Arabidopsis thaliana: one gene and its partner. The protein of the gene in region 1 interacts with the protein of each later gene in a pairwise test. Each region holds a gene or a part of one and is shown in the gene's direction. Other genes may lie near its edges. The genes, in order: AT2G27940 and AT4G17430.

Region 1 (12,121 bases):
ATGTCATCACCTAGAAAAGAGATTCAAATTTTGCATGAGGGGATAAACAGTGTTTGAAACTCTTTAAACTAAGTTGAATAATGTGGTTGTTCGAGCCAACATTCCATCTAATGTAGTTTAATGTTGGCTCGAACAAAAAGATCAACCTTACAAACCAAAAGATTAATACCAAGTGGAAAATATTGATAATTTATGTATGTTTCTTTTGGACGTACACGTTTCAATAGTTTGAAGAATTTCTTAGGTAAACCATAAATTATATATGTATATATATATATATATATATATATATATTCTTCTTCATTTATTGATATAGATATGTCAAAATTAGAGTATTACCATTATAATTTTTTGGTTATAATTAAATTCCAAGTTGGAACAAATTTTGATCTCTTTAATTTGACATATGTTGATAATGTGTGTTTCTTTTGGATGTACACGTTTCAATAGTTCGAGAAATCTATTATTCAAATCATAAATGTTAATTAAATATATTTTAGAAACATTTTTTGAATTTAATTATTTTCATATATATATATATTAAATTTAAAGTATTATCATTTAATATTTTGGTTATTTTTGTAGTCAAAGTTGGAACAAATTTTGATCTATATACACATTTAATTAGCTTGTAATTTTGTCATCAAACTCATTTACTCAATGGCCTCATCCAACGGTTAGGAATCAACCTTAACCAAACATCATATCTAATTATATATCCTTTCCCTTTCCTCCCCCAATAAACTATTAACAATAAATATTTAATAATTAAGAGAAGAATTGAAAAGATATCTACCAATCCTAAATAAGAAGAAAAAAACATAAAATCTTCATTTATCAACAATAAAATAAAATTTATATCTTCCTTTCTCTCTTACCCTTAAAATCTGATTTTTCCTCCTCTTGTCTCAAAAATCAATCATCTAATACCCTTTCTCTCTCCCTCTACTGATCATCTTCATAAAGGTAATGCAAATGGCAAGAGCATGTTCTTCGTAATTTATTACATTGTTCATAAGGTTTTGTCTCGCTCTTCCCTTTTTGTATATATTGTAATTATTGTCTAAGAAAAACAAAACAGGAGAGAGATTAATGGAGGAGCCGAAATGGCTCGAAGGTCTCTTAAGAACAAACTTCTTCAGCATTTGCCCTCGACATCGCGAGACACCGCGAAATGAGTGCAACATGTTCTGTCTCTCCTGTCAAAACGCTGCGTTTTGCTTCTACTGCCGCTCCTCCTTTCACATTGATCATCCCGTCCTTCAGGTCCTTCATTTTCTCAACACACAATGCATACACATATATATATATATCACTTTTGACTCAATCCAATTCTTTATCATTAACATTGAGACAGATAAGAAGATCGTCGTATCATGATGTGGTGAGAGTATCGGAGATAGAGAATGCATTGGACATAAGAGGAGTGCAAACTTATGTCATCAATAGCGCGAGGGTTCTCTTCTTAAACGAGAGACCTCAGCCTAAGAACTCCTCCCATGGTGCCGCCTCCTCCACTCCGAAAACCATGTCCTACTTCTGTGAGACATGTTGCAGAACCCTTCTTGATCCCTTTCGCTTCTGTTCCTTGGGTTGCAAGGTTCGTTTTCCTACACCTTTTCTCAATGCAAAATTCCTTTTTGTAGCTGGATGGATAAATCATGAGCAAAAACCTGTAAACTTCATATCATAGAAAAACGAATGCATAGTTATAAGTCAATCTATCTAACGAGCACTTTACAACTGGACCAACAAAATTGGTTTATCATATTTTCATCATTATTACTAATATCTTCGCATTTATTTGTCCGATATAAAATGAGGAATCGGTTTAAGGATACACCGTATAATGTTTAGTTACTTGTATGGTAAATTCATTGAATCAACTATATTCAAACTCGCTTAATACATGTTGTTTGCCTCATATAATGTATCTTAAGAAAATATATACGAGGTTAGATGTTTGTATATATGTATATGGTACATTTTGCTCAAAAAAAAAGTATATGGTACATTTGCATAACGGAAATGTATGATGTGATCATAATAAAAATGTCAGGTTGAAGGAATGAGGAAGAATAAGGAAGAGGAAGAAGAAAGATTGCGTAAAGAAAGACAACAAGAAACGCACAAAGGCACGCATCCTCCAACTCATACCTCTAATTCTAGGCGACGAAAAGGCATTCCTCATAGAGCTCCTTTTGCCTCCTAATTTAATCAATCTTTTTCAAGAAATAAAATAAAACTTTTCTTTAACTTATTTTTATCTTTTTAAAATCATCAGTTAATGGTCCACCCAAACATAGCATAGTATATGCGTATTGGGTGGGTGTATTTATATATTCCCAATTTGTACAATGTCCAGCTCACTTCTCACAATCCTCTCACATGGAAAACCAACAATTTGTATAGAAGAAAATCCTAATTTCCCTATATTTTTTTTTTGTAAAACATTAAATACATTTCTAGCTAATTGTATAACATATATCTATACTGTAGGATTGTAGGATGGACTCTATTTGATATACTAATTAATTTTTGTGAAATATAAGTCTTACCTTTAAAACACATTATACAAAAATTAAGAGTTCAAAAAGACTCTTTGTGGAAGGAAGGAATAACATGAAAATTTAGGCATTAGTTAGACTATGAGAATGTCGGTGGAGATATACTGTATACTTTATTTCCGAGTAGATAATCTAATAACTAATCGATGTGGTGGTTTGAAGTTACCTGTCTCTATATCCATCTAGCTACTAAATATTTTAGTTTAGACTGAAATTGTGTGGGGTTTAGGGATCAATAATTGTGTATCTAAATGGTTTTTTTTTTCTTTTCTTTTTTTTTGGGAAAATATCTAAATGGTTAAGGGACATGAATGTGTATATGTTTTGTATAGACACATGAAATGTTCTTCGACATTAATTCTAAGCTGTTATATAATTAAAATAGTTTGTCGTAGGCGTTAGGTATTCGAAAGGTACAGTTACTTAAAAAAGAAAATGAAACTTTCACTTATTTACATAAATAATTTAAGTGGTAAAATTTTACGTAAAGGATGGTCTTATTTTAGTACGCATCGACCTTAATTTCCTTCACGTTCTACATAATATATTATGGCACTTTAAGAAAAAACTAGGTTATAACATTAATTATGAATTACGTGTTGTCGTTTCTCGAGAATAATTAGAGAATTGTGGAATTGTACAAAAGTAATAATTGATGCATAATGCATTGGTAGTATAATTCTCCAAGAGGAAGTCAAGCTCATGTTGCGGTTGTTGATCGCACTGCGAGAAGCATCGATCTCTTCAGCTTATAGTCAGATCGATTCTTGGATTCTTGATTCAGGAGCCTCTTTCCACACTAATGCTCCCTAGGACATAATGGAGAACTATGTTGCCCAAAATTATGAGAAGATATCTCTAGTAGATGGATTATCTTTGGACATTGTTGGTGTTGAAGACATTAACCTGAAGATGTCAGATGAGCTTGTATGGAAAATCACAAAGGTTAGACATGTCCGAAAGTGATGTGAAATCTATTTTTTGTTGGACAATTTGATGATACATGACACGATATCAATGTTGGTTGTGGAGCTTGAATAGTGACAAAGGGTTCCATGACAGGTACAAAAAGCTATAAAAGAGACACTATTTATATGACCACTAACTATGAAGATATATATAGTTGATGTTGCCGAAAATGCCTAAAACAAAACTGAGTTGTGGCATTATAGATTGAGGCATATGAGCGAGAAATGTATGAATTTCATGGTAACAAATGGTGAATCTCCAAATTTAAAGATATTAAATCACTACATGTATGAAAGTTGCATCCTTGGAAAGCGGAAACGGGTTAGGTTTTGAGTGATGGTAGGAAGTTGAAATCTAAGAAGTTGGAGCTAGTACAAAATAACTTGTTCGAACCTGCTTATGTTGCATCGCTAGGAGTATCACACTATTATGTGACTTTCATTGATGACTCCAGTATGAAGTTTACTTTATGAAGAACAAGTATGGTTGAGATAAATCTCAAATTGAGTGTCTAATATCTGATAATGGTAAAGAGTACATTTGCGGTGAGTTTATAAAATACTGCGCTGATAATAGGATTACAATGGAGAAAACTATTCCTGAAATGCATCATCAAAATGAAAAAGTGGAGATTGTGACTAGAATTTTGAACGAGCGTGCAAAAAACTTGTGACTCCAGTGTAGATTGCCTTTAGATATTTTGGACAAATGAAATCAATACCGCAACCTTCTTGAGGACCGTCTGTTATATTCCAATGGGATTCAAGATCCTTGAAGAAACTTGGATCCATTGAAATAGCCTTGTTTTTGTGGACTAAGATGAGAGAAAAATTGTCTTCTCTTAGCGTGTTATTCATGGTCATTAATTAATTTGTGAATTGAACTTAACTATTTGAATTTTTTATATTGATCTTGACCTTTGACTATTAATTTGATCCATTCATGAGCCAAACATATGTATTTTATGGGTCTCCGTGACATGGTGAGCTTCCAAAGAAATAAATTGGATTCATTGTGGATGGTACACTAACACTTGAGATTAATGAGAGAAATTTTTTTCAATAAAATTAAATATCTTAACAAATATGAGAGAAGAATATATATAATGAAATTAAATATATTAACAAATATGAGGAAAAATATATAATGAATTAAATATATTAACAAATATATTAAATATGTGTGTGTGTGTGAATAGTATAAATATTATTATGTAATGAGGAAAAATAAAATAACCAAGATGGGAAAATTTTTAATATGTTTCTTCTTCTTGTTTTTCATCTCCATCCAAAACATAGAATCCATTATAATACTTAGGACTTATTACATTGATATTTCGAATCATCTTGCAGGTAACAAAAAACTCATGATCATTTGTAGATCTGGAGATCAAGCGAGCCCACTTAAATTTCTTCCCTTCAATGTCATTTGGAGAATAAAATTTACAATTTACCCAAAAACTTTGATATGGTGCCACGTATGGAAGGTAGTTCAATTTCCACTGTTATCTCTTTCACATTGTTACACCTATAATTTTTTAACGATATATTCTTGTTTATATTTATGTTATTCATGTAAATTTTTTTATTACGATATCTTTCCAGGGACCTAATTATGTTCATCATGTAAAGTTTAACGCGTTTATTGCGAAGGAGAGTTTTATACATGATGTATGTGGAGGTCGGAAACCTAACGCATGTTTTTGGCAACCGAGAGAAAGCGGAATATGGGCACGAAATAATAGTGCTGGAACCCTTAAGTTCACGTATAAATGGGATATAAATACCAATATATCACCTTCTTATTAATTTTATATTTACTTAAAATATATAATTATTATTATACCAATATCTCATGTTACATTAAGAAATTAAACAATAAGAGTGAGTCACCAAAAGTTGGGTATTTTGTTTAATTCTGACGTTTTTCCTTACAACTTGTTTAAGTTGGGGACTAAATCCAATGTAAGCAATTAATGTGGAACAAAACTAAAACATTACAGTATTTTGCTTTCAAGTAACGTGCAACAAAACAAGGGCATCGAGAATTGGGGAAAAAAAATTGAAACCTGTAAATGAAAAGGTCCACTTAGAGGCAAACTAGCTAGATTCTGTTATAAACTTGAAATTCTCAGCATAGACTACAAAGGTGTAAACTCTAGTAGGTTTTTCAAACGCTTCAAAACCTTGGACTCTTAACTCTTTCAAGAGTCTTCCTTTCAGGATTGAAATAGAAAACAAAGAAAGGTTTAGATATATAGTCCATGGACAAAATAATTTCATGAGTAGCAGTCACTCCAACGCCGGAAGCATCTCCCTTAACGACTATATTCACCGGAAAAGTGTATACACATTCCAACCATTCTTGTTTCTTGGCATCCTCTTGTATCCACAAATACAAATAAAGCTTAGACCTAAGCCTTCTGGGATAAAAGTCAGTATACCAGTGCCAACTAATCACGCCTAATTAATTTACCCTTGTAATTTATCAGTTTAGTAGGCGACGATGGAACCAATAACTTCATAATACTAGAATCTGTCTTAAAAAAACTAAAATTTTCATTTCTAACATCAAAGCAAGCTATCTTCACAGTCTTTGCTTGTCCAGCAATGTAATACAAAACCTCATCGATGCATACCCCTTCACCTATAGGATAATGGTTTTCCGGACAATTCAGTTTTCTCCATGACATCTTCCGAGTTCCTAATGTCATAATATGTTCCTCTTCATTAGATACTCCATAAAGTGAATTTCTTATGTTTGATACTTTATATCGTTTGCCAATAGGATCATACCATAATAAGCTTCTTGATTAGCTATATTTAAATGTAATTTTTTTTTACTCTCTCTCAATTGGTCAAATTTAGAGGAGATAAAAAAAATTTACCACCCAATAATTGTTTCATTATTATTGGCTAAACTTAGGTGAGGTGAATAAAAAAAATGAACCCAATTTTCGTTCCATTAACATTCATTTACGTCGTTTTCTTAAATATGAGTACACATATATCAGTTTATTCATATAGTTAAACTAATATTTAAATACTAACATGTGCATACGTGTACGTTAATGTTATGAGTCATTTTACATTGTCAAGTAATAAAAATTGAAAATGAGAATTTCATTTTGTTTCTTAATAGACTTCAGTGATGGAGACCAAGCACCTACGCAAGCTTCTCCAGCTCTACCAAGCTTGTGGTGGCGAACAAGAGCTCACAAAAACCGTCCAAAACGTCACATCATCACCATTGACTCCAACGCCACCACCACAGCCACCTTCGGCATTAGACTCCACTATGGCTCTCACCATCTTTATCCTCTTGGTTGCTCTCTTCTTCATGGGTTTCTTTTCAGTTTACTTCCGCCACTTCGCAGACAGTTCAAGTTCAACGGTTGATATTTCTTCCATGCCAAGAACAAGATCCTCTAGGATGTCTCCACGTCGCCTTTCCACATCCGTCGTCGTATCACGGCCGTATAGTTTCCGGAGGGGTCTTGATTCTCAGGTAAATCCATTTCTCTAATTATCTTTCTCGGTTCTTATGTTAACCGGCAAGATTGGGACATTTCAGGCCGTTCGATCTCTGCCAGTGTACCGTTACACGAAAGCAGCGAAGCAGCGGAACGAAGATTGCGTTATCTGCTTGAGCGATTTCGAAGAAGGTGAAACAGTTAAAGTGATACCACATTGTGGTCACGTGTTCCACGTAGATTGCGTTGACACGTGGCTGAGCTCATACGTAACATGTCCCTTGTGCCGGAGTAACCAGCTGTTCTCGGATAAGGACTTGGGCATGCAAGAACCGCCTGATCAGGACTCGGCAGAAGAACATGACACGTGTGATGGTGTGGACACTTGTGTAAGGAGGTGTAGTAGCTGTTCAAGTTTGGGGCAGAGGACTGGATTGGAACGATCGCTGAGCCTCTGACATGTTCTTTTTTTTTTGTGTTGTTCTTAATCTTGATTTTGTCTTTGTATTATTGTTGTAATAAGGGAAGGGTATGAAATAATGACTTTGTAAAATGAGATTGAGTAGTAAATTTTGTTAGTGTTGCCAAAATATTATTTTATTCATTCCATTTTGTTTTATGAGATGTTTAAGAATAAAACAAAATTATGAGTTTCTGATTTTGTATTACTATTTTCCGTGGAAGGAAACGGAAAAATTGAAGCGAAATGTGTGGAAACGAAATTTTTGTTAGCATCAAGTGAATCAACCAATTTATTTATCCCCAAAAAATCAACCATACGTACACAATTTCGTAGTGTTTTGTCAAACACGGCTTCAGAGGCTCATTTCTTTGTGTCATCTGAAGTGTTGCACTTTTTAGATGTCTCTTTTTTTTTTTTTTTTGGATATGCATAAAAGTACAGGTAGTCACAGATAGTTCACTGCCACCAATTTCTATTGAATCTTTTGATGTTTCATGTGTATAAAAATAGTTAAGAAGTGTGTGTTTGTCTTTCTTACACCACGGATAAAATTAAGAGCCGAGTGAATCAGAGTAAATATCTATGCTAAAAACATCACAATCAAAGACATTTGATATCTGTAAAACCCAGAATCAAATAAGCAGAGCTTGGAGCCGTAGGAGAGCACAAGAGTTTCAAAGAATAGAGTAAGCACGAACTACCTCAATCACAGGGGCTTGACACATGGGACATTTTCCTCCCGCTTCCACTAGCTTCTTTGCACACTTCTCGCAGGTGTTCATATGTCCACATCTGTTGTTTACGAACGAAACAAGAAAAAAAAAACAGAGGAGTTTAGATATCAATTTGGGAACATGTTTAAAACAAATGTTGGTGTTTTCATGGTTCATAGTTTCATACGTACCTATACAATAAAGAGTCAATATTGCTCTCGCAGCATACGCAGCAGATCCCTTTCCTTACATATTCCCATTTTGACTCGTAACTCGCAGTGTCCTTGGATGGACCTGTGAATCGATTAAGGTGAGTCCACAAGAAAAAAAAAATAGTTGCATTCTTTGTTGTATACTGTTGTGACTTGTGAATCATCATATGTAAGGTCATAATGTGACTTGAGACTAATAGAAAACCTGGTTGGTCAGTAGAGCGGTGCATCGCAGCAGAGACCTCTTGTCTTATGGACCGTTGTAACTCGAGTTGCATTTCCATGCAAGCCTCTAGCATCCTCTGCAGGTTATCCATCCTTTGCTGTATTCTACCCATGTCAACCCTCAAATCGTTGATCGAATCCCAATCCTGCAGAGATATTGTTGATCAAGTTAACAAATAAGCGCAACAGCATATAAAATATCAACCAATGAGTTCCTTCATCTTTAGAAAAGACAATTGCTTTGGCACCCTTCACCCTAGGGATTAAGTTTGGGACTAGTCTTACCATTCCAATGCCCTGATGCAAATCATGTGCCGGCCAGTTTGAATGGGATCGATCATGGTCCCACCGTGGCTGAATAGGGATGACTGGGGAGGGTAGAGTCAAAGGAGGAGATTCAACAGCATCAAGTTCTTGACCACCACTCTGAGCATCATCCTGCTGTTCGGTATCTTCACCTACTATTGTATGGTCAGAATAAGTCTCGGCTTCTTCCCAGTCGACAGGATTTTGGCTTCGTCTGTCCATGTAAGATTGTATCAACTGGCTAAGATTTTCCCTAAACCCGCTCTGCAGAAGATTTGAGACACGTCTCCTGTAGTGCCCATAGCAAGCCATCAGATACATAAAATGAGGTTGAAAAGCGTCGCCATTACGGCAAAAATTTACTAGATATCTTACCTGCTCGAGAGTTCTCTGAGTTCCATGTTGTTCTCATTACCATCATCCGGAGGAAAGAATGTGGTAGCCCTTCCCATTGAAACTGTGTCCTGATCAGAATGTTCCTCTGACCAGTCTTGTATTGTGCTTTGAAGAGATGCAGCATCATCATCAGGCTGCATCTCTGTGAGTTCCCCGAGTATGTTGGCTTCTCTGTCCTCGTCCACAGATGATAACTGGGATAACTGATTTGGAAAATTCTCAGGAACATCTGTATCTGCCTCCTCTTCAGCGTCATCTCTCCATGCACTGGTTGCACCATTGATAAGTTGCCAATCGGATTCTTCGTTTTCCATCTGCTCCACGGTTTGTTCCTCTAGAGTGACAGTTAGGTTAATGCTTTCGCCCAGATTCTCCTGGAAATTTGTTGTCCGGTTTATCGGTCCCATGGTGGCAATTTCTTCAGAAATTTGCAGAGACTGTTCATAGGGTATCTCGATAGTTTCTCGTAATTGACAACCGTATCTGATCTCATCTCCATGAATTGAAGAGGATGAACACCCAGTAGCATTCAGGTCCACTTCCGTATCATTTCTTCTTTGAGAAAAATCATCAATTTCTGACCGTTGCCAGCCTTCTACACGTGCAGTCCTTTCTTCCAAACTTGTGCTCCGGCTACAACACCGTCCAGAGTTAGTTATCTCATCCAGTGAACTTTGGTTGTCAGCCTCTCGGCCATTTTGATCTGAACCACCGTCTGCATCATTGATGCTATCTAGACAATTCAGGTCGTTTTGTTCACCTCTATTATGATCAGTTTCAGCATTTGATGAGGTCTCAGAGTGACTACTGCTCGCTTGACCAGAGGCAGACCGGTCCAGTCTGGATATAAATTCCTCCCTAGCATATGACAAACACACAGTAAGCAAGGACCTTTTTAACACCTCTAAAATAGAATTTATTATTACAGAAGAATTAACTACCTCAGCTCAGATACAGTGTGCCTCTCTCTTAGAAAGCCCAACTCAGTGGCTGCAGATGATGTTGGTTTCTCTTTATCATCGTTGTCACCATTTCGCAAGAATCTCCCCCTTAGCAATGCCTGCAAAAGTAATTCAAATCATGATTTAAAGCTATGCCAACCAAAACCCAAGAGATAGAGTTGAGACATAGATTTAGCTCTTAACGCCTTCAAACAACCAATGTGCCAGTTAAGCTGACTGGTAATGATAGACAAAAAGATATCATATAAAATATAAAGAGATGCTCAGCATATCTATCACTACAACTCCTATGACACAAACGTCAAGTTAGAATCCCCTTAAGAGGAAGTATAAAATGACCAAAACGGGAAAGGAAGGTATATAGCAGGAAATAGAAGCTATCATAAACTCCCTCAAGTATGTCTCCAACCCCCATTCGACTATGAATTTCGTTATTCATTTTAGAAAAAAAAGTGACTACTAGACTTTCAGTCATTGTTCCTCTGACACAAGATGCTTATAATTGTATAAAGAACTAATGCTAATTATTGTTCCTGTATTTATTCCACATACACAAATAGCACAACATAGAATTAGGAAGGTTGGGGCGTCTTCACAATCTTTACGAATGTATCGGTAATTGAGTAGCCTGTGAATGTATCTGACAGTGGTTTTGGACAATATAGCACAGATTGATTTTTTCTTATTTGGGAATAGTTACTTAAAGATAACAATATCACATATTCAATGTCACCGAGACAAGTAACTGAGAGGTAAGAAACAGTCACAAAGTCTAATGAGCAAACCTGAATGCGGTTGCGATGAGCGAAGTTTGATACTGCATGATGCTGCATCAATCCCTCCAGCTCTCTTTGCCTTTCCATCTCAGCCATTTTTAACATATCCACCCACACTTGCCTACCACACAACTTGCGTATGCCTCTTCTAGCATGTTCATTCTGGATGCTGTTTGGATTAACAACTATTCCATCAAGTACTCTTTCAATCTGATTAGCACCTTCAATAGGTTGTTCTTCCCTGAGATCACCAAGAGCAGGCCTCTGCTGGCTATTCATCTGAACCATCTCCCTTATGATCCTCACCCTTTCTTGTTCAGTTTCACCAAGCCATTCTGCTCTTGAGCTGTTGGTTGCTTGGGAAGCAGAATCAGTATGCTGACCTGTCCCAGAGCTCGTCCACTCACGAAAAATCTGTCTAACTCTTTCCCTTTCACCCATCCCCAGATCAGAAAAATGCTCGCTCTGAAAAGGGCCGAGATCCTCACTCGAGTTATGTGACCCAACATGACTCTGGGTGGGAGACCATCCACCAAGTTCATTCTCACCCAGATTAACACTATCTCTAACAATATCATGTGCACTAATATTACTGTCACAACCATTTCCCCTCATAGTATTAGATGGTGAAGAAACACTCCTCCTCTCACCATCTCTCTCACGAGCATGACCCATCACATGATCATCCTCAAGTTCCCTCCACATCTGTAGGAGTGAGGATGCCCGGACGCTTGACCTTCCCTCATTTTCCCTTTGTCTAGTCGCCTGAACCTCAGAGTCCCGACGGAAAGATGAATCGATCACCAAAATATTTTGCAGACCAGCGATAGCCATTTGATCAATCTTTAACTGTATTAGCAAAAAGCCTAATTATCTACAAAATATACACAAAAACTGGCTTCTCCAGATAGAATTAGATCATCTCCTATGGTGCTCATCAATTTCAATACCTCAGATATTTCATCTGACCACGACTCTTAAAGCCGCGTTGCACTGAAATCATATGTTTATTATCGTCCAACAACATTCTCCACCAAAATATAGACTCCTTCTCTTTGCA
Region 2 (13,224 bases), on another chromosome or scaffold:
TTATAGGTCCTTGTGCATAATACTTTAGCCTTTAGGTCTTGTCTACACTTCGATTATGAATTTTTTTGAACACATGTAGTCTCATTCAATATACGTAATTACGTATAAAGTAAATTAAGATCCACGTATAAAAACTTTAATAATACAAATCGTATTTTCTAATGTTGTAATCATTTGAGGCGTATATATATGGTTTGCTTTTATAGTAGGACTAATAATTATCAATTTACATAATCATATTTGATGCGTAGCTTAATTATTCTCTACAGAAATTGGCTGTAGGTTAATGTCATCATTGGGGAACTTTATATGTTTGGACCTAACTTCCCCATTATAGTCGAATATTATATATTCTCTAGTACATGTAATAATGCGAATGTTTAAACACTTCAAAGAAAATACTCATTGACATCGACATAATGAATAAGAAAGAGGCCTAGCAATAAAACGAATGATATGTAATTTGAATTTGACGTTTCATATAGTATAGTTAAAATGTTTGATTCTTGATTATTAAACATGATTTTAACGCATCAAATGGTATGAATATTACTGCTACATGCATATGCATAATTATTGAGATTCTAGCATCATGATTATTCAGAAATGGTTTTGGGAATCTATGTTTTTAAATAAAGAAATAGTTGGTGTACAAAATGAAGCTTCAAGGAATGCTTGTAATTAAAAAAAAAAAAAAGAAGAAGAAAGGACCAAGTTGGCTCGTGCGATATATCCTCCCATGTGGAACCGACGTGGCGCACACATTCCTAAGAGAACCACACCACCCATGACAGCGAAGCACACGTGTGCTCTTGTCCACCCACACGTGCATTCTTGGTCAAAATATTCCTATGTTCTCTTGGTTGTCCTCAGTCAATGGTCAAACTTCTATAATTTTATTTGGTTGAGTAAAATAGGAAGAAGTAGCCAACTCTCTCATTAGAAGAATGTGGCTTCCTCTCTTTGGGATTTTCAAAGATGGCTTATCAGTTTCAGATGCTATAATTTAGTTCTTTTTACTAATTGGCTTCAGGTTCAGCCCCTTGGACAGGTTGATAAGCCACTAATATTACTAATATGTCCATTCAGAAATCTTGAATAATGAAACCAACTAATATTTCCCTCAATTTCGTTCGTTTTGGATCTATAAGATTTGAAAATTGGCTTGATCATAAAAGTGGAATAGTTTTGAAACATGTTCTCCGAAAACATATGGTTTCCTAGTTACATATTTTAATTCTTCTAATGGCGGTGAGCTGTGGTGGTCATGTGGATTCATCGGTTAACCAAAAATCGTTTGGGATATTTTTCGGTTGTAATGACACGTGCACTAATATATACATACGGACTCATTTAACTACCTTTAAATAAATAAATAAAAAAAACTACCTTTAAATAATACTCCCATCTAACGATTGCTTTAAAATAATTACTGGGTAAAAATGAGGTAAAAATGAACTCTAATAGTTTATCTTATGGATTCTGATGTACCATTTTATGGAGAAATTATATACATGATTTTAAAATGGCCACCAAATTAAAATGAACCATCCTAAAAGTAAAATAAAATAGAACTAAACCCATGAATTTATGGTTCTAATTAGTAGTAACAAAAAAATTCTACATTTTTGTAATTATTATTGACTTTTGTAGATTGTCACTATTTATGTGTTGTTAATATATATGTTCTTCCTCTAGTTAACTGATGATTAAAAAAACCATCGTCGATTACACAATTCTCTATCAGGTCCTAGTTCTGGTAGACGTGAAATTATATTATGGTTTGATTGGTCGAAAATAATTTGGATATTTTAGTAGAAATGGAGGGCACTCATGGAATTTAGGTTTAGCCCCTAATTTTCCACTGCGTGACAGAGTAAGGAATCGTTTTTTTGTGCCATTGTGTGTGGTTGGTCGTTGAAAGAATACATATCTCAAGTACAACGAGGACTGTGTATGACGTCGATAAAGCAATTAATGGCACATGATATATTACCAATCACATCATTTAATTTATTAGTATCATCATCATCGTCATTGCATTATCTTACATTCCTAATGTTATGTTTAGAAAAGTACTTAATTTACTCCACATAATCATTAACTTCTATCACAACAATTAATCTCTAAGTAAAAGACAAGCTACATAATATGATAAAAAAATAAATGGACATGCGATCATCTTCGGTTTTGTTCTTGGTTTGGATTCAATTACGTTTAAAATTTGATATCACTTTTTCTCTTTTAAATTAAAAGATTGAAACTGTATATGATACTTTTGTGGCTGTGTGTGATGTAATCGGTGAAAGTTGTTCTCGAATGAATTGGCTTTTTGGAAACAAGAGGAGCCCACTGAGAATGATACTCTTCATTGATTATTCGGCAAAGAACTACATGTAATAATGATTAAGTTTTTGAGTCGGAACTAATTTTTTAATTTTCTTAAAAAGAAACAATTAAAACCGACAAACTGACCATTTGGCTTCGCTGTAGAAGAGCATAAATGGCGAGAGTCAAATGATTGTGGACTAGAATCATCATGTGATGAAAATGAAACACAAAAGGCCTAAGATAACCAATTATATGCTCTAACCCCTATATAATCATTCCCATTATAGTAATAATGAGAAGAGTTCATAATTAATGGAACAAACCTTCTTCAAAGTAAGCATGCTCTTGCAAATTAAATACTAAAATTTACAAGAAATCACATTTTCCTAAAAAAGAAAGAGAAGTCGTAACTGGTGGTATTCTAGGGCCTTTTGGATTTGAAATCATGAATATTAGCCCATTTAGCTTATTGTGGTTTAGGTACTCCATTCTCACATTAGGACTTCAAGCCTTAAGATGCAATCACATGAATATGAACTGTGAGCCATTTTCTTTATGCAGGTTGTTGTTAAGTGGGTATGCAGATTTTTTAAAAAATACAGTCATACAGAGGAAACAACTGTGTGATTAATAAACCAGCGTAAAAGCAAAAACTACACTCTTAGTTTCACATTTTTGGAATAATTAGAAACATTAATGCAGAACTGTAACTATTTTTAGCCGTCTTCTCAAAGTTATCTGCAGGTTTTTAATTTGCTTTTATTCTCTTAGAAACCTTATTGTACTTAAAAAAACTTATATGGATCTTAATACACTTTCTAACTATGTGTGTTAATAAGAGTTATATATGGTTTAATAAATCATTGTCTGTGCTAATAAGAGTTATAAATGGTTTCAAAAAACCCTTTTTAAACATAGATTATGTTGTTTTCCTCTGCCATTAAACTTAGACGCATCTTAATTACTAACTCAAAAACAAACCCCTCTCGCTCTCTCTCTTTATATATATCTATAATTATATGACCTTACCGATATTTACTTATAGTTTAGTTACTACTAAGTTTGATATGAGACAAGAACATGTCTCTTGAGATATCTTCTTCCTAGCTTCTACTGTGATGTATCTGGATTCTCGATCACCAGCATACCTATCTACCCTGCAACAAAGCAGAAACAAAATCCAACTACTTAAGCACAAACCTCAACAAGATCAAGCAATGTAATATCATAACAACGTTACCATATATCCATGAAAATGATAAGTTTCAATTAGGGAGATGACTTCACCTTTTTCCTTCACCAAAAGACTCCTTTGCATCGATCATCACTGCAAATGGAATACAATCGCTGTTACGGGTTTTGTATCATTAAAGCAGCAGTACCATTAGGTTACGTAAAGCTAACATAGAATGAAACTTCATAAAATCTGTAATAGCACCTAAAGGTCTAGACTTTCATCCATTTCATACTATCTACAGATCAATGTAGCTAAAGGGCAGGTTGATCCAAGCTTTCATCGAGCAAGTAAGTGGACTGATCAAAGCTAACCTTAGCCGGAGAAGTGGCTACTCTGAAGCAATCAGCATTCATCCCAACGAGACCCAATCCAGGGAAAATGACCTACAATGGCAGACATTGAATTGCCTAAGAAAATGGAGACACTAAAAAAACGTAGTCATTGTTTTGAATTCTCTGTGAGGCAATTCGTCGAACACCTGGTGACTTACATCGAGATGTTTCTGCATAGCTTTTGCCCTCTTCCTTGGCCGGCGAGATGACCTGTTCCCACTCATGCTGAACAAATCTTCTTCGATCTCGTCTCGAGCTAGAGCAACCCAAAGCCTATGATTCTCGTTTGCAACCTCACCACCGCCTAATCCGGGTGATTCCGCCGGGATTCCTCTCTGCCTGTTCGATTTCGGCTCAATTCCTGCGCCTGATTTCTGATTCTTCACCTCCGAACCTCCTCCTCCGCCGCCACCGCAAACCTCCGCCGTGAACACGCCGTTTCCTTTCTTCGAACCACCATAAGCCTTCCTCGGACGAAGATTCCACGTCCTCTTCGCTTCCTCCTCCTCCGTTTCTTCTCTCTCCTTCACCGACACCGGCACTTCCTCTCTCGCGGGAGAAATCTCATCGGATTTCAGCTTCTTCAGGTTATCGTGCTCTGATGAGGGAGCAAAGGAGGAGAAAGAGAGACGCGGCTGACGACTTGACCGTGACGCCACGACACGGTTAGAAACAGCCACCGTCTCCGCCGATTGAGAAGCAGACCTCTCCGACTTGGAATTCGCAGACATTGGTATGAGATTATACCAAAACGTATTCACCTGAGAGATGATCAAAAACCCTAGAAGGTAAAAAGCAGAGAGGAGAGAGAGAGATGTAGGAGATTTACGGAAGCTGATGCATGCGTAAGTTTCTAATTATGTTTTTATTCATGGGGTGTTATTGGTTTATGATTTCAAAAGACTTTTAGTGTTTTAAAGTGTTATTTAGAATTTATTGTTATTCGATCACGATTTGTTAAAAGTATGTTATATTTTGTTGGCTAAAATAAATCATTAGTTAATTATTTTATATCCTGATATATCAACATCAATTATCATCCTTCTGATATGGGGATTAATATATGTTAACAATAAATCCAGAAAATTACGTTTAGATTTAGACATATAAATAAAGAGATCTTAAAGAAAAGAAGAGAAAAAAAAGAACCCGTAAAAAGCTTAAAAGACTACAACTGCTTAAGTCTATCAATGATGATCAATATATTCATGTAAGTGCTAAATAGGTTAATTTCTCTAGTGAATTCGATTTTGGACTAAAAATCAACAAATATTAGATCATCTAGTGAATTCGATTTCTCTAGGCCATCAAAGAATATTATTAGTTAGGTCCAAAGACCTAAATTTATTTTTGTGTATAAATTTAATAAAATAGAAATTTACATTTTGATATTTTTAATATTATTTTGGTGACAAAATATTTAGAAATTTTTTATATTTTTAAATATTCTTTTATTTTCATATATTTTTTATTTTATTTTACAAAAATTTAAAAAGAATAAAAATAAAAATAAGTTCATAAATATTAATTAGCAAGATATCTAATCTCCATTGCTTGTTTAAAATGTTATGTGGACGCGCAAATAGCTTCGTATAGATTATGTTACAAAAAGATTTCTAAAATTAACTATGTTTAAGTTCGTATTATTTTAGTTAAGGCCCATCAGAGAATATTAGTTAGGCCCAAAACAGTGACACTCACCGTTTTGGCATCTTCTACACATGAGCAAAACTAGACGCAACGCAATGATGGCGACTAAAACCTCAGAGCAAAAAACATGAACAACTTCTTCAATCCCAGTAGACCAAGCCCACGTCCATGGCCAAACAGGAAGAAGCAAACCGACAAATCTGCGATATTTCTTTGCTCCGTTTCTATACTTGTTGTGTTCTTCATCGTCGTCTTCTTCATCACTTACTCCGAGATGCCCAAGTCCTTGTTCTCAATCTCTGCATTTTCTGGATCCGTTCAATTCCCTCAGTGCAGATCCGAGATACTAACCCGAACTCTTCTAGGTCAGAAGTTTCTCTGGTACGCTCCTCACAGTGGATTCAGTAATCAGCTATCGGAATTTAAGAATGCGCTTCTTATGGCGGGAATTCTTAATCGGACCCTAATTATTCCTCCGATTCTGGATCATCACGCCGTTGCTCTCGGTAGTTGTCCTAAATTTAGGGTTTTGAGTCCCAGCGAGATACGAATCTCAGTTTGGAATCATTCAATTGAGCTTCTTAAGACTGACAGGTACAAAATCTCTTTTTTTTTTCGTAATGAGTTTTAGTAATTTGATCAATGTGGGTGACAAATGTTGGTGTTTATAGGTACGTTTCGATGGCTGATATTGTAGACATTTCGTCGCTGGTATCTTCTTCGGCTGTTCGAGTCATTGATTTTAGGTACTTTGCATCACTACAGTGTGGTGTTGACTTGGAGACTCTATGCACTGATGATTTAGCTGAACAGTCTCAGGCTTATGAGTCACTGAAACAGTGTGGCTATTTGTTATCTGGAGTTCGTGGTAATGTAGATAAATGTTTGTATGCTGTGGATGAAGATTGTAGAACCACTGTTTGGACTTATAAAAATGGAGAAGCTGATGGGAGATTAGATTCGTTCCAGCCTGATGAGAAGCTCAAGAAGAAAAAGAAATTGTCCAACGTGAGAAGGCGAAGAGATGTGTATAAGACTCTTGGACATGGTACAGAAGCTGAGTCTGCAGCTATTCTAGCATTTGGGAGCCTCTTCACAGCTCCATACAAAGGCTCAGAGCTGTATATCGATATCCATAAATCTCCAAAGATAAAATCTTTGGTTGAGAAGGTCGATTTCCTTCCTTTTGTTCGAGAGATAATGATCGCGGGAAAGAAATTTGCTTCAGAAACCATAAAGGCGCCGTTTCTTTGTGCACAACTTAGATTACTAGATGGCCAGTTCAAGAATCATCGGGAGAGCACTTTTACGGGTTTATATCAGAAGTTGGAAGCTTTGAGCGTTAAGAATCCTGGTCTAATTAATGTGTTTGTAATGACAGACCTTCCTGAATTTAACTGGACCGGAACTTACTTGGGTGATTTGTCTAAGAACTCTACAAATTTCAAGCTCCACTTTATAGGGGAACAAGATGAATTCTTAGCGCGAACAGAGCATGAACTTGATTCAGCGAGTCACGGCCAGAAATTTGGGTCTATTCCGATGAGTCTTGATAGTATAAAAAAGATGCAGACCCATTGTTACCCTCATGGAGGATCCAATGTGCAGCTTTACATAGAGGAAGCTGTTTGTAGCTGTGCTTCACTGGGTTTTGTTGGTACTCCAGGGTCTACAATAGCTGATAGTGTAGAGATGATGAGGAAATACAATGCGTGTAGTAGTAGTTGAACTCAGACTGCATTTCTATTGGATTCATCTGGTGGATGAGCCAATGTGTAGTGATTTTATTAAGTTTTGCCGGTCTTTGTATAGAGATGGATAGAGATAGATGATAGATCTGTCATCTGTCTCCACTTGAAGTTATTGGTGATGAAAACAGGCTCTTAAATTGTTTTGTGTTGTTAAGTTATTTGGGAAACTATCTAAGTTTCTTATTAATAGATGAAGCTACTTGGTTCCTTTCTGATTATTCACACACAACAATGGAAGAGTAAAGGTTGCGTGGGATGGTTGCTTAGTAAAGGTTTTGTGAGTTCTGTAGATGTCTCTAGTGGTCGACAAGATTTGTAATTGTTGTACCAATGTCTTTAAACCGGCTATTGAATAAGAAATTTTGTACCAAATAAATCTAGTGAAAGAGGGTTGGTTGAGAAGAAATGTAATTATATTAAACCGGAAATGAAATTTTACGTCGATGTGTATTTTGTGACCAATGAGATCTCTCCACGTAAACAGATTCCACGTGCAGCTTCAGGCCGATTTAAGCGAATTTAATCTGTCGTTTTGTTGGGTTCCCGTCGGTGACATCCACCGCGAACATTTCGACCGGAGTTTTGAGAGAGCTCAGAGTGTTTCGAGTGTGTTATTTGGATCTGCGATCTGATCGTCTCGCATCGACGTGAAAGGTTTTCTAATCCAATTGGTTCTGTGGAAATTTGGATTCGGAGGTTTTTGTTTGGAAGATCTTTCTGCGGTTTTCACCGCCATGGCTGCTCCGTTTTTCTCTACTCCATTTCAGCCTTATGTCTATCAGGTTTGTCTTCTATCTTCGTTCTCTTCTCGCCTCTTAGATTCGTATTCTTGTCTGTCACTATCGAGAAGGCTAGTGTTCGAATATACTTCTTCGCGAGTATTTTAGGATCCTTTCTCATGTAGGTGTTGAGTAATGTGATGTGTACTTACATCTAATTCAGTGATAATGCTAATAAGCTATTTCCTGGGTGAGAAATTGATCTCTTGAATGTGTCTGTGGGAGTATGAATCTCACAAGTGGTTATATGATGCAGAGTCAAGAAGATACGATCACACCTTTCCAAATTTTGGGTGGTGAAGCACAGGTTGTTCAGGTAGGTCGACATTTTATTTTGTAGTCTGGGCATTTTGTGTTTATGTGATTGACATATATACTCAAGCATTTGATTGTTTTTTTGACAGATAATGTTAAAACCACAAGAGAAGGTCATTGCTAAGCCTGGTAATTTCCATATTATGATTCCTCATTAAGTTTTGTAAGATCTGTTGGGTTGGATTGTATATGTTAACTGATTATATATGGTTCTTTAGGTTCAATGTGCTACATGTCTGGGTCCATTGAGATGGATAATACTTATACCCCTGAACAAGAAGTTGGAGTTGTACAATGGATTTTAGGAAAGAGTGTTAGTAGTATAGTTCTTCGTAACACTGGGCAAAACGATGGATTTGTTGGTATCGCTGCACCTTCTTTGGCAAGGATTCTCCCAGTTAGTGGTTCTTACTTGCCATGATTTCCTTCCGTAGTATTTAGTATCTTGCTTGATATAAGTATATCTCCTTATCTCGTTCTTATGTGTTTTGGTGACCTTTGGCTTGTTTCTTTCCGTGAAGCTTGATTTGGCAATGTTTGGTGGGGACATCTTATGCCAGGTAGAGCCGTCAATCTTTAGCTGCTTGGCTCTCAGCTTTTTCCTCCTCATTCAATGATGTGACTTTTTCTTGTTGTTGTGTAGCCAGATGCATTTCTCTGTTCTGTCCATGATGTGAAGGTCGTAAACACTGTGTATCAGAGACATCGAGCAAGAAACATTGCTGCAGCTGGGGCTGAGGTAAGGAAAACAATACATTGCATTGGCTTTTGGCACAGTTCATTCAAAACTTAAGAGTTATACCTTTCCTAGTTACTTCTTGTAGATGCTACTATGTGAAAATTTTATATATGTTTGGCTTGAAGTCAGAGAGTCGTTGTTGTAGGGGGTTCTGAGACAAAGGCTTTCTGGTCAGGGTCTTGCTTTTATTATCGCTGGCGGCTCTGGTATGCAACTAAAGTTTATCTCAACTTACTGCTCTTTAGGTTTAGGCCTTTTAAACTGATCCTACTCCATTTGCTTCATAAAGTTGTACAGAAAAACCTGGAGGTGGGAGAAGTTCTCACCATTGACGTTTCTTGCATTGCCGCTCTCACTCCGTCGATCAATTTCCAAATCAAATACAATGCTGCTCCTGTAAGACGGGCAGTTTTCGGGGTATGTTATGTTTCTTCCTTATCCATTACAAACAATATGTATTAAGGTTGGTCCTTTTGTGTCAAACTTACAAATCATCTACATTTTGTCAAAAAAAGGGTGATAATGTAGTAACAGCAACTCTAACGGGACCAGGCATCGTGTTCATCCAAAGTTTACCGTTTCATCGACTCTCGCAGCGAATTGCAAGGTTAAGAATCGACAATCTCCTCTTGGTATAAATAACTATGGTTTCTTGTACTAGACTCAGCAAGGGTTTTTGCTTGCAGGTCGGTGACGTCCCCAAATATGAGAGAAAATCCAAGATTATTAGTTCAAATAGGGTTATTCATATTTCTTGCATACGTTGTAATTGTGTCCTCTTTAATCCTTACTGAAATGTGAAATACAGAGGTGCACTCACATTTGTATCCTCTTTTGCTATATATGGGATTTACTACACCCATATCACCTTTTGTATTCTCTTTTGCTATTAACCTTTCTCAGATTCATGTTGGCAGCAGTGGCTGGGATGTTTATTGTGAACAGATACTTGAAATCATTCATATAGTCGAAATAGCCTTTGAGATCCCTAAAACTTTCATCATCTTCCACATGATTAACTTTGCTAGAGCACAATATCTTAACCTTAGCTTCAGCAGAGTAAAAAAAAATTCTTGAAATATCAAAAGACAAATTTGTCTTATGTTTCAATTAAAACCCTTACACGAAAACAAATAAATGCCTAATTTAACATTTGGTATCAACCTAATTAATTTTTAAAACTTTGTTGTTAAATCTAATGTGCCAAAATGGATGCTCAAGTGTTAAATTCTTGTAAGACAAAACCTCTCTATTAATGAGTTCCAATGTGTACATCTGAAATTGCATCTCAAACGATGTAAGAATGAAGTGCTTAAACGTATGCTACTCAATATTAGGCTAATTCGTACTCAATTTCAACCAGTATTTTAACATATACTAACATCATATAAGTTTAAAATCAAATATCACAAATTATTTCAAAAAGATGACCCGGCTGGTATTTAATTAAATAAGAAGTCATACAAATCTTTCTAAATAAAAAACCGAAGATAGTGAGAAATAAAGACCCATTAATATTACACATATTCGATTACATATGACTTTTTTCTTTAACTCATGCAACAAAACATCTAGTCATCTTCCATCTCTGAGTCATAGGGCATTCTCGTCATAGTACCAGGCCATGGGTTCGTCTCCGTGAAGATAATGAAGGGCGTTTTAGTCATTTACGCACACATTTGAATCTTCTTCATTCTTCGAATCAAGCTCGCGCTCTTTCTCCTTTAGATCGCTTAGAATGACGGAAATGCTCATCACCGGCGTCAGAAGGTGCAACCGAAGGAGATCGCTTGTACCTTGATGGCTTCCTCTTGAAATGTCTGTCTTCATCATCACTTGAATCGTATTCCACCATCTCTCTTTCTCTTCGACTGTGATGACGACGACCCGATGAAACTGGGGCGACTGAGCTCTCTGGAGGCGCTGGAGAAGACTTTGATGTCTTTCGTTGTTTGCCAGAAGATTCCTCTGGAAAGCTTATCCGAGTGAACACGTTAGACTTATTGTTATCGTCTATCTCTACAGTTGGATCCGATGATGACTTTTCGGATCTCTTACGGTGCTTGCGATCTGTCTCTCTGGGACGGTCACGGCGGCGGTCGTGTTCGGAATCGAGGTCATGGTGACGATCACGCTCAGATTTCCTGCTGGATGATCGAGGAGGAGAGGTGAACCTTCGAGATGACTGACGCTCCGGTGACGATCTATCCGATCGCCTGCGACGGTCGTAATCAGACGAAATCGGCGGCGGAGGTCCTTGTCTCTGTTTATTCAAGAACAAGGCCATTATTGGTAAAATAACAGAAAAGAAATTTAAATCTTGAGCCCAATAAGAGATATATTGGGCCCAACCCATTTATCTTTTACTTTACTCTAAATAGCTTATTTAACGAAGAAACAAAGAAAAGAGAAAGCAAACAAAGGTTTATACTTTATAGCTTCCCAGTAAAATCTTAATTTTGCAGGATAAAGAGTGACCACTACTATCCTTACACGTGGATTACAAACGTGTTTTGGTTTCAAAATATAAAAAGACGTATTTAATATAGTCCTGATTTAATATGATTTTGATATCAGTATTTAACGTTTACTTTAAAAATAAAGTAGATCAAATATCTACATTTTAATAGATAACAAAAATTTAATATTGTAAAAAAAAATTTCGTCAAAAAAAAAAAAAAAAAAAAAACTATTTAGGTAAAATATAATGTTAGAAAAATAATATTTTATAAGGTCGGCAATATAAAGCCAACTGGTCTGTTTGGGACCACGCTTCATGTAAGTCTATAGGGCCATATTAACCCGTACGATAAGATATACTACCCTGAAATTAAAAACATTTCCTACGACTTTCTACTTTAGTCTTTTGTTCCCTACAAATTTTTCTGTCTTGAAGAGGCCAAAAATTATGGGATCAGTCGAGCATTACTTGTGACCAAACTGCCAACGAGAAGACTATGTGGAAATAACTTTCAATTCATTTCATTTATGCATATATTCTATCGCAAGTCAATACATTTTATGGTGTCAATTCAATTTCTACATCTACCTCATTCTAATCTTAAATGTCTCTCCTTTGAGTTTTACCCCTAAACCAAATCAACTATAAAGCAGACGCCTATTTAGCAATTGTGGAATCAACCCCTTTCTTTTTAACGTAAAAGGATATGCAGAGAGCGAAAAATATAGAAATAAAAAGAGAGAAAGAGGGTGCTGAGAAAACGTCATCTCTTGCAAACCAAACCAATTGGCCGAGAGAGAGAGAGAGAGAGCGAGAGAGAACTGAGACAACAAAATGATACATACAGATTTTGGCTTCACGGGTGAGGAAGTGACTGCCGAGTTGTTCATTATTCTGCTCTTTTCACTGTCCCTGACGACATTCCCTCTGTACCACACAAAAACAAACAACTAGTCAACATGCTGCAGTATACATACATAAGCCTGAAACTAGTGAATGCACAGACAGTGCTTTACCCTTCCGATCGTCGAATCTCGTTTTCACGCTTTCTTTTCATCTCAGTTTTCTTAGCTTCAAATTCTTCTCTCCCCATTATAGGATGCTGGAGATTCATACGATTCCCCATCTCCGCAAGGTCCCTGCTCAAGTCACATGTCCTGGTTACTAATAGCTATAATGAAGATACAAAATCACAAACTATCTATGAACTGAGAGAGCAAGTCTCAGCTTCTCAGTACCTATAAGGTGGTGGTATATTAGGGAACCCAAAGCCCTGTGCAGCGAAAGGATCTGGATGGATCACACCGCCAAATCCATAGCCAACAAAAGGAGGCATCGCACCAGGAAAAGGGCCTGGAAACCCATTGAAACCATGATGAAAGCCATTGAACCCAGGTTGAACGCCATTGAACCCATGTTGAACGCCGTTGAAGCCGGGTTGGAAACCATTGAAGTACTGATTACCGGGACCTGGGCCCATGGGCATCATATAGTCAGGGCCTGCTAGATCTGGCAAAGGAAAAGGAAGACAAACAATCTGTTAAGCCTCTCTATACAGTTAACATAGTCTGGGAAGAAAGAGCATGGGTAGTCCACATCAAAATAAGAAAAACCTACCGGTTCCACTCA

What was found.
Region 2: the proteins of AT2G27940 (region 1) and AT4G17430 interact in a protein complementation assay, tested with the Arabidopsis thaliana proteins (one large-scale study listed by BioGRID).

What each region holds. Positions count from the first base shown.
Region 1 is NC_003071.7:11,891,277-11,903,397, forward strand, and holds AT2G27940 (RING/U-box superfamily protein), read left to right. Parts: upstream 1-6,665; 5' UTR 6,666-6,686; coding exon 6,687-7,043; intron 7,044-7,109; coding exon 7,110-7,466; 3' UTR 7,467-7,591; downstream 7,592-12,121. Other genes in the region: AT2G27930 (PLATZ transcription factor family protein), read left to right, coding at 1,175-1,600, 2,060-2,212; AT2G27950 (Ring/U-Box superfamily protein), read right to left, coding at 8,146-8,263, 8,376-8,478, 8,602-8,767, 8,907-9,216, 9,303-10,181, 10,265-10,383, 11,071-11,895.
Region 2 is NC_003075.7:9,719,255-9,732,478, reverse strand, and holds AT4G17430 (O-fucosyltransferase family protein), read left to right. Parts: upstream 1-5,644; 5' UTR 5,645-5,677; coding exon 5,678-6,144; intron 6,145-6,221; coding exon 6,222-7,278; 3' UTR 7,279-7,769; downstream 7,770-13,224. Other genes in the region: AT4G17440 (chromogranin (DUF1639)), read right to left, coding at 3,820-3,951, 4,059-4,631; AT4G17420 (Tryptophan RNA-binding attenuator protein-like protein), read left to right, coding at 8,036-8,083, 8,337-8,396, 8,485-8,524, 8,614-8,792, 8,917-8,955, 9,039-9,134, 9,280-9,340, 9,424-9,551 and 2 more; AT4G17410 (DWNN domain, a CCHC-type zinc finger), read right to left, coding at 10,837-11,397, 12,441-12,522, 12,612-12,734, 12,834-13,104, 13,213-13,224.